2 linked regions of the Sus scrofa genome follow. The protein of the gene in region 1 purifies or fractionates together with the protein of each later gene. This does not show direct contact. Links are inferred from orthologs where the notes say so. Each region holds a gene or a part of one and is shown in the gene's direction. Other genes may lie near its edges.

Region 1 (3,750 bases):
TGCCAGATTGCAAGTGAAACGTGGAAGAAACTGGGAACCGGACAAGTGAAAAAGGAGAGGTGCCCGGATACCTAAGATAGCTCTAGGGAGTAGAAAGGGATTTTGTTCTTTTAAATAGTGTAACTTTAGGGCATTGCGAGAATTGATTGTATAGTTGCCAGTCTGCCTTTGAAGACAGGAACTGTGTCATTTATCTTTATATCCCCAATGAGATAACTTACAGTCAAATATTTGTTGAAATGTGTACCGACTGCTCAGGGATAAGGAAAAATGAGTTCGAAATAAAAGAGCCTTGGATATTTGTAACGTTTACAGGATTTACTGCAAGCTATAAAGGAGGTGAAGCAGAGCCCTGTTTTAGATGTGGTGTCACCAAACCAAAAATTGCAAGAAACAGAAAGCTGCTGTGTTGCGTTCAGGACAGAGAGATGATTAGTTCCTTCTAAATGAAAAGTGATCAGGCAACAGGTTTGACTGAACCTCTAGCGAGAAAAAAGGCAGGAACGACCGCGATAAGGAGATGGACAGAAGTGGAGTGTCTTGGGTCAGAGAATCACTCTAGACAGAGCAGAAGGGAGAGGTCCGAGCGTGCTGGCTAGAGAATCCCGGGCCATGGGGTCGGACCGGCGAAGCTTGCTTTGAGCTTGTTTCTTAACAGAACTACCAGGAAGCCGTAGGAGATGTGCAGCTTAGGCTGGCATTTCGGCGCGGTAACTTCCGTGTGTGTGTGTGTGTGTGTGTGTGTGTCTGCAACAGTGAGCGCCTTGTGTGTGTGTGTGTATGCGCGCCACAGTGAGCGCCGCCCAAGAACTTCCGCGTGCTAGGGAGGCTGGAGGACCGCCAGCCAGCCCCTGCTTAACCAAGAGGAAACCCGCGCTCCCCGCCGGGGGCCGCCCCTTCTCCGCCATGGGCTGGGGCGGGCCCGGGGGCGGGGCCGCGGTGGAGCCGCAGCCGGTCGCAACCCCTCAGGCAGCCCGGGCGGTGCTCGCCGGCACCACGCCCCGCGACTACATTTCCCAGCAAGCCCCGCGCCGCCCGCGCACCGCAGTTGACCCATTTCCCGGCCCGTCCCGAGCTCGGCCGGCCCCCGCGCCCAGGCGGCTGCTCCCTGCTGACTGGGGTGTGGGCGGGGAGCGGCGGAGGGAGGAGGAGACGCTGCTGGCCGCCGCCGTTGCCTCAGCTGCTGGGCGCCTGGGCAGCTCCCCGGGTTCCTGCGGCCGCCATGGACGAGCAGGCGGGTCCCGGCGTCTTCTTCAGCAACAACCACCCGGGCGCCAGCGGTGCCAAGGGTCTCGGGCCTCTGGCGGAGGCTGCCGCGGCCGGCGACGGGGCGGCTGCGGCGGGGGCGGCGCGAGCCCAGTACAGCCTCCCGGGAATCCTGCACTTCCTTCAGCACGAGTGGGCCCGCTTCGAAGTGGAGAGAGCCCAGTGGGAAGTAGAGCGGGCGGAGCTGCAGGTAAAGACCCTCCCGGCCTGGCCGTCTTCATCCCGCCTCTCCGCTCTCTTCCGCCCCGCCCCGGACCCTTCCCCCTCCCCCGCTCCGCTCGCTCGTCCCCTCCCCCTTTGCTCCAGCCCATCCCACCCAGAACCTCATCCCCTTCCTCCCTTCACCTTTGCCTTTAGGTGACCCCACTTCCTCGACCCGGGTTCCCACTCCCAGCTCCCCCCCCCATGCGTTGTTTACCCTCCCCGCACCTTTTCGTCTGCTCCTTCCCACTCTTAACTCTCAGGCTTGTTTGAACTCTCTCGCCATTCCACATTTTAGGTCTTCCCTTTCAGTTTACTAATTGGGCTGACAGTAGTTTTGAGAGATGAGCAAATCATCCCCTATCCTAGTGAGTGGCCCTCCTAGGTCTAGAGAAGATGCCTGGAAAAGGTATTGACAGTTGGCGCCTCTCTGTGAGGAAGGCGATCAGAGAAGACAACAGAAGTTGTATCCGTGAGGCCTTGACTTTAAGGCAAGAAGCTGCCGTTGGGTCAAAGTGTTACTAGGAATATCTGCTCCCTTTTTATATATGTAAATGTTTCTTCTTTTACTTCTTCCTCATCCCATCCCGCGTTTCTTTTAGATATTTCAGACTCGTGGATTTTGAATGAAGAATCTAGATAGATAATCACAGTCAGATAATGGTTCAGAGATGGTTTCTTGTTCTCAGAATCTAAAACTTCCCAAGGGTTAATTTTATGTTCAGGGTTTTGTGAGACTGACTTGTACTTTAAAAGGAACTAAAAGGAGCTTCAAAGTTGGTTACATTTCCTTGCATAATCTACAAGATAAAGTATATCCAGGGAGGAGCTATTGTGGGATCTTGGAAGAATGAAAGTGAGGCTGATACTTTGCAGGCCATTCTGAACTGGTAAGTAGGTTTCAGTGGCTGTTTTTAAAACTTCCAAGGCATACACTAATTTCACAAGGAATTTAAAGAACTACGAGTGGCTCTGCCTTTCTGTCTTTCTGGCTAATCCTGTATGCTTGTGAAATCTGAGTATAGTTTTGGTTGGTGAAACACTTGAAGTTAAAGTGCTACCCACTGTGTCACTTTTTTTGGTACCATGTATTTTCTTTGGCACTTAAGAGGAAAGAAGAAACAATCATGTTAAATAGAATCATGTGCTGTAACAGGCTGCTTTGGTGTAGTGCAAGTGGTTGTGGAAAGAGCAAGCAGAAGGGGTTACAGTATAAGCTGTGCTTGCTGCCTGCTCTTTGACCTTGAGGAAATCCTTTAACTTTTCTGAACTTCAGTTTCATCATTTATTTATTCAGCGTATTTATTGAATGCGTATTTATTGAGTAACTGTAGTTACTCCTCAGTTTTGCCCTCTCTACCTTACCCCCTCCCTGCCCCAATATATACACACACACTACTTACTGGGTTATTTATGGCAAATGTTAAACTTCAAGTAGGTTTCCCATTGGTGCTTATACTAAGGGCACTACATTTTTACAGTATCTTGGTTTGTGCTCCAGTTCAATTAAGCATCCATGGAGAAACTTAGAAAATGTGCCATAGTTTTTTGTTTTTTGGTTTTTTTTTTTTGGTCTTTTGTCTTTTGAGGGCCACACCTGCGGCATATGGAGGTTCCCAGGCTAGGGGTCTAATTAGAGCCGTAACTTTTGGCCCATGCCAGAGCCACAGCCACACCAGATCCAAGCCATGTCTATGACCTATACCACAGGTCATGGCAACACCGGATCCTTAACCCACTGAGCGAGGCCAGGGATCGAACTCACAACCTCGTGGTTCCTAGTCGGATTCGTTCCGATGCGCCATGACAGGAATTCCTGCATAGTTTTTAAACAGAGCAAATAGGCATTTTGGGAGGAGGGAGTTTCCAGGAATCTGTGGTTTTTGACCTCCTTATTAGTATAATTGAATATATATTTTAAAAATAATTTCTTTATATCAACATCATTAAATTCGACCATATCCCTTCTTTTTTCCATCAGAATCTTTCTAGTAGGAAATAAGAATTGAATGAATGGTAATGAAATTTGGAACAGTTGGTATCATCTTTTTAATTTTTAAATCTCTTCTTAAGTCAATACCAGAGTCAACAAAAATACTTTTAAGATTAGGTCTGATTTTTCTCTTCAGGAACCTGTCAGTCCTGCTCTTTCAAGTTGCCTGGGCAGAGTTGTGAAAGGCAACCCAAGCTCTCATCTCCCTGGCTTGCTTACACCATATCCTCCGTCCTTCAGATCTTGGGAGTAAGGAACTGGCCACATTATGCCAAAAACTTATTCGTCAT
Region 2 (3,650 bases), about 86 Mb from region 1:
GGGACCTCCAAAGATGAATATTTAACTTAGTATTTCTTCTTGAAATGAAGTTCATGGTGTGGTGTATTTATAGTCAGAATGATTCTGGGGAAAGTCAGCTGCATCAGCCATTTGGCATTTGTTGAACGTTTGTGCAAAGCATATGAGAGACTTGGAATTTTTAAATTTATTTTAAAGGCCTACTTTGAAGACTTTTTTTTTTTTTTTTTTTTTTTTTTTTTGGTCTTTTTGTCTTTTCTAGGGCCTCACCTGTGGCGTATGGAGGTTCCCAGGCTAGGGATCCCATCAGAGCTATAGCTGCCGGCCTACGCCAGAGCCACAGCAATGCCAGATCTGAGCTGCGTCTTCAACCTGCACCACAGCTCACAGCAGTGCCGGATCCTTAACCCACTGAGTGAGGCCAGGGATCAAACCTGCAACCTTGTGGTTCCTAGTCAGATTCATTAATCACTGAGCCATGATGGGAACCCTGAAGACTTTAAGGGAGGTGATCACAGTTTAGGAGCCTACCAATTATGACAATTTCTCTGTAGAATTTTCTGTCCAAGACAGGGTTTTTACTTTCATTTGAATGGGTTATTTTTGTTGTGTCTTCTGGAATATTGCTTTTCACAGTGAACCTCCCTGGGTATTACCCAAAAGTCCTATTCAGAGAGCTTAAGAGATAAAGCTTATTGTGTAAAAATTTTCCAATACAGTCTCAGTTCACTGTTTTAATTTTGCTAATGTATGTTTCCCCCATGTGGAAATTAGTAAGAATATAATTTGTATGTGTTTGAACAGCTTGATCAGGGGTCTTGTTTTGGACCATGGGGCACGGCATCCGGACATGAAAAAGAGAGTAGAAGATGCATACATCCTCACGTGCAATGTGTCATTGGAATATGAAAAAACGTGAGTTTATAGCTCCTTAAAGATGAAAGGAGGGTGGAGGAGCTTGGTATATGGGGCAAGTCACTTTTTTTGGGAGACTCGGTTTCCCCACTGTAGGACAGTAATGCCTCAGTCAAAAAAGTATGGGAAATAGCCTCTGAAAACATACGGGGGGTGGGGGGGTGTGGAGCTCAGTGACTATTTGCTAAAGCTCAGGACTGACTCAGTTTCTAAGGCTGCTGGCTTATTGTCTACTCAAAAAATAAATACTTTCCTCTGATTTTTGTAATTTCTTTTTTTAGAGAAGTGAATTCTGGCTTTTTTTATAAGAGTGCAGAAGAGAGAGAGAAACTAGTAAGAGCTGAAAGAAAATTCATTGAAGATAGAGTTAAGAAAATAGTAGAGTTGAAGAAGAAAGTATGTGGTGATTCAGATAAAGGATTTGTTGTTATTAATCAAAAGGTGAGAAATTTTGCTTTATAAATTAGTCTGCTTTTATTTTAAGGTGAATTATATTGAAGCTTACTTTTATTCTTATAGGGAATTGACCCCTTTTCCTTAGATGCTCTTGCAAAAGAAGGCATAGTAGCTCTACGTAGAGCTAAGAGGAGAAACATGGAAAGGTACGGACAGCAGGTTATCTGTGACCTGAATTTCACTTATTTTGCAAGTTAACTTGGATTATTGCTTTCCCCCCTTCATATTTTTGTGGGGTTTTTTGTTTGGTTTGGTTTGGTTTTTGTTTTGACACTCCTGTAGCATGTGGAAGTTCCCAGATGAGGGATCAAACCTGAGCCACTCCAGTGACGACACAGGATCCTTAGCCCACTGTGCCACAGGAGAACTCCTGTTCTTGTGGTTTTCTGATTTTTTTTTTTATTGCAATGAAATGTACGTAATATAAAATATGTCATTTTACCTGTGGGGTTTTTTGTGTTGTTGTTGTTTTTTGCTTTTTAGTGCCACACCTGTGGCATATAGAAGTTCCCAGGCCTAGGGGTCGAATCGGAGCTACAGCTGCCGGCCTACACCACAGCCACAGCCATGCCAGATCTGAGCCGCGTCTTCGACCTACACCACAGTTTATGGCAATGCCAGATCCTTAACCCGCTGATCAGGGCCAGGGTTCAAACCCGCAACTTCATGATCCCTACTCAGATTCGTTTCCGCTGTGTCATGACAGGAACTCCTTACCTGTGTTTTAAAATGTGCAATTCTTTGTCATTAAATTACATTCAGGAGTTACCTGGTGTTGCAGCAGGTTAAGAATCCAGCGTTGGTGTTCCTGTTGTGGCTTAGCAGTAGTCAACCCAACTAGTATCCATGAGGATGCACATTCGATCTCAGGCCCTGCTCAGTGGGTTAAGGATCTGGTGTTGCTGTGAGCTGTGATGTAGGTTACAGATGGAGCTTGGATCCAGTGTGGCTGTGGCACAGGCTGGCAGGTGGAGCTGCAGCTCTGATTCAACCCCCAGCCTGGGAACTTCCATATGCCTGAGCCACAGTTGTGGCCCTGAAAAGCAGAAGCACATTCACAGTGTTGTACAACCATTGTTCATTTCAAGAACTTTTTCCCTTGTAAGCTGAAAGTCTGTACTCAATAACTGCATACCCTCTCTAGTAAATACTATTCCATTTTCTGTCTCTCTAAATTTGGTACATGGTGTAAGGGAATCATGAGGTATTTATCCTTTTGCGTGGCTTATTTCACCTGGCATAATCTTTTCAAAATTTATGTTGTAGCCTGTATCGGGATCTCTTTATTTTGTTTATTCATTTATCTGTCAATGGACATTTATTTTGTCCTTCTACCTTTTGGCTGTTGTGAGTAGTGCTGCTATGAGTGTTGATATATACTTGTGGTTTTTTTGTTTCATTTTTTGTTTGTTTTGTTTTTTAGGGCTGCACCCTCAGCATGTGGAAGTTCCCAGGCTAGGGGTCGAATCAGAGCTACAGCTTCCAGCCTGCACCACAGCTCACAGCAACACCAGATCCCCGACCCACTAAGCAAGGCCTGGGATTGAACCCACATCCTCTTGGATACTAGTCAGATATGTTTCTGCTGAGCCATGATGGGAACTCTTCTACTCATTTTTAAATCATGACCTGTACTGTACGTAATTTCACATGTCCAGAGACAGCATCAAGGATTTTTGGAGAAGTACTTTCTCCCAAAGAGCTTACCATGGTGGATAGCTCTTGTGAACCTTTGAATTCAAAGCAGTATTTGCTCCTCTGAATTGACTTGGGTAACATGGTTAAATGGAGAGTTAGGAGAAAAGACCAGTTTTTAACTGGTTCCTGGTGAATGGAAAAGCATAAGCTAAAATATATTTTAAAATATGCTTATAGGACTTCCTATTGTGGCTCAGAGGTTTAAGAAAACCTGACTAGTGTCCATGAGGGTGTGGGTTAGATCCTTGGCCTTGCTCAGTGGCTTAAGGATCCTGTGTTGCCGCAAGCTGCAGCATGGGTCGAAAATGCGGATTGGATCCTGTGTTGCTGTGGCTGTGGTGTAGGCCTGGGAACTTCTGTATGCCACAGGTGGCCCTAAAAAAAAAAAAAAAAAAAATACGCTTTTAGTATATAATTTCGAAGAAGATTGCTTTTTAAAAGTTACTAATCTTTTTAAGTGTAACTAACAATGTCACCTCTGCATCTCCCTTAAACACTTGAATATTCCAGGCTGACTCTTGCTTGTGGTGGGGTAGCCCTAAATTCTCTTGATGACCTAAATCCTGATTGTTTGGGACATGCAGGACTTGTCTATGAATATA

The links. Proteins that work in one complex are often made in the same cells at the same time.
Region 2: the proteins of STRN (region 1) and CCT6A purify together in Homo sapiens (affinity purification with mass spectrometry; 3 studies listed by BioGRID and IntAct, with this or other methods). This does not show direct contact. The link is inferred for Sus scrofa from reciprocal best matches to the Homo sapiens genes STRN and CCT6A.

The regions. Positions count from the first base shown.
Region 1 is NC_010445.4:103,248,748-103,252,497, forward strand, and holds the start of STRN (striatin), read left to right. Parts: upstream 1-1,078; 5' UTR 1,079-1,222; coding exon 1,223-1,456; intron 1,457-3,750. UniProt on the Homo sapiens protein: Calmodulin-binding scaffolding protein which is the center of the striatin-interacting phosphatase and kinase (STRIPAK) complexes.
Region 2 is NC_010445.4:16,848,705-16,852,354, reverse strand, and holds part of CCT6A (T-complex protein 1 subunit zeta), read left to right. Parts: intron 1-783; coding exon 784-894; intron 895-1,175; coding exon 1,176-1,335; intron 1,336-1,413; coding exon 1,414-1,496; intron 1,497-3,558; coding exon 3,559-3,650. UniProt on the Homo sapiens protein: Component of the chaperonin-containing T-complex (TRiC), a molecular chaperone complex that assists the folding of actin, tubulin and other proteins upon ATP hydrolysis.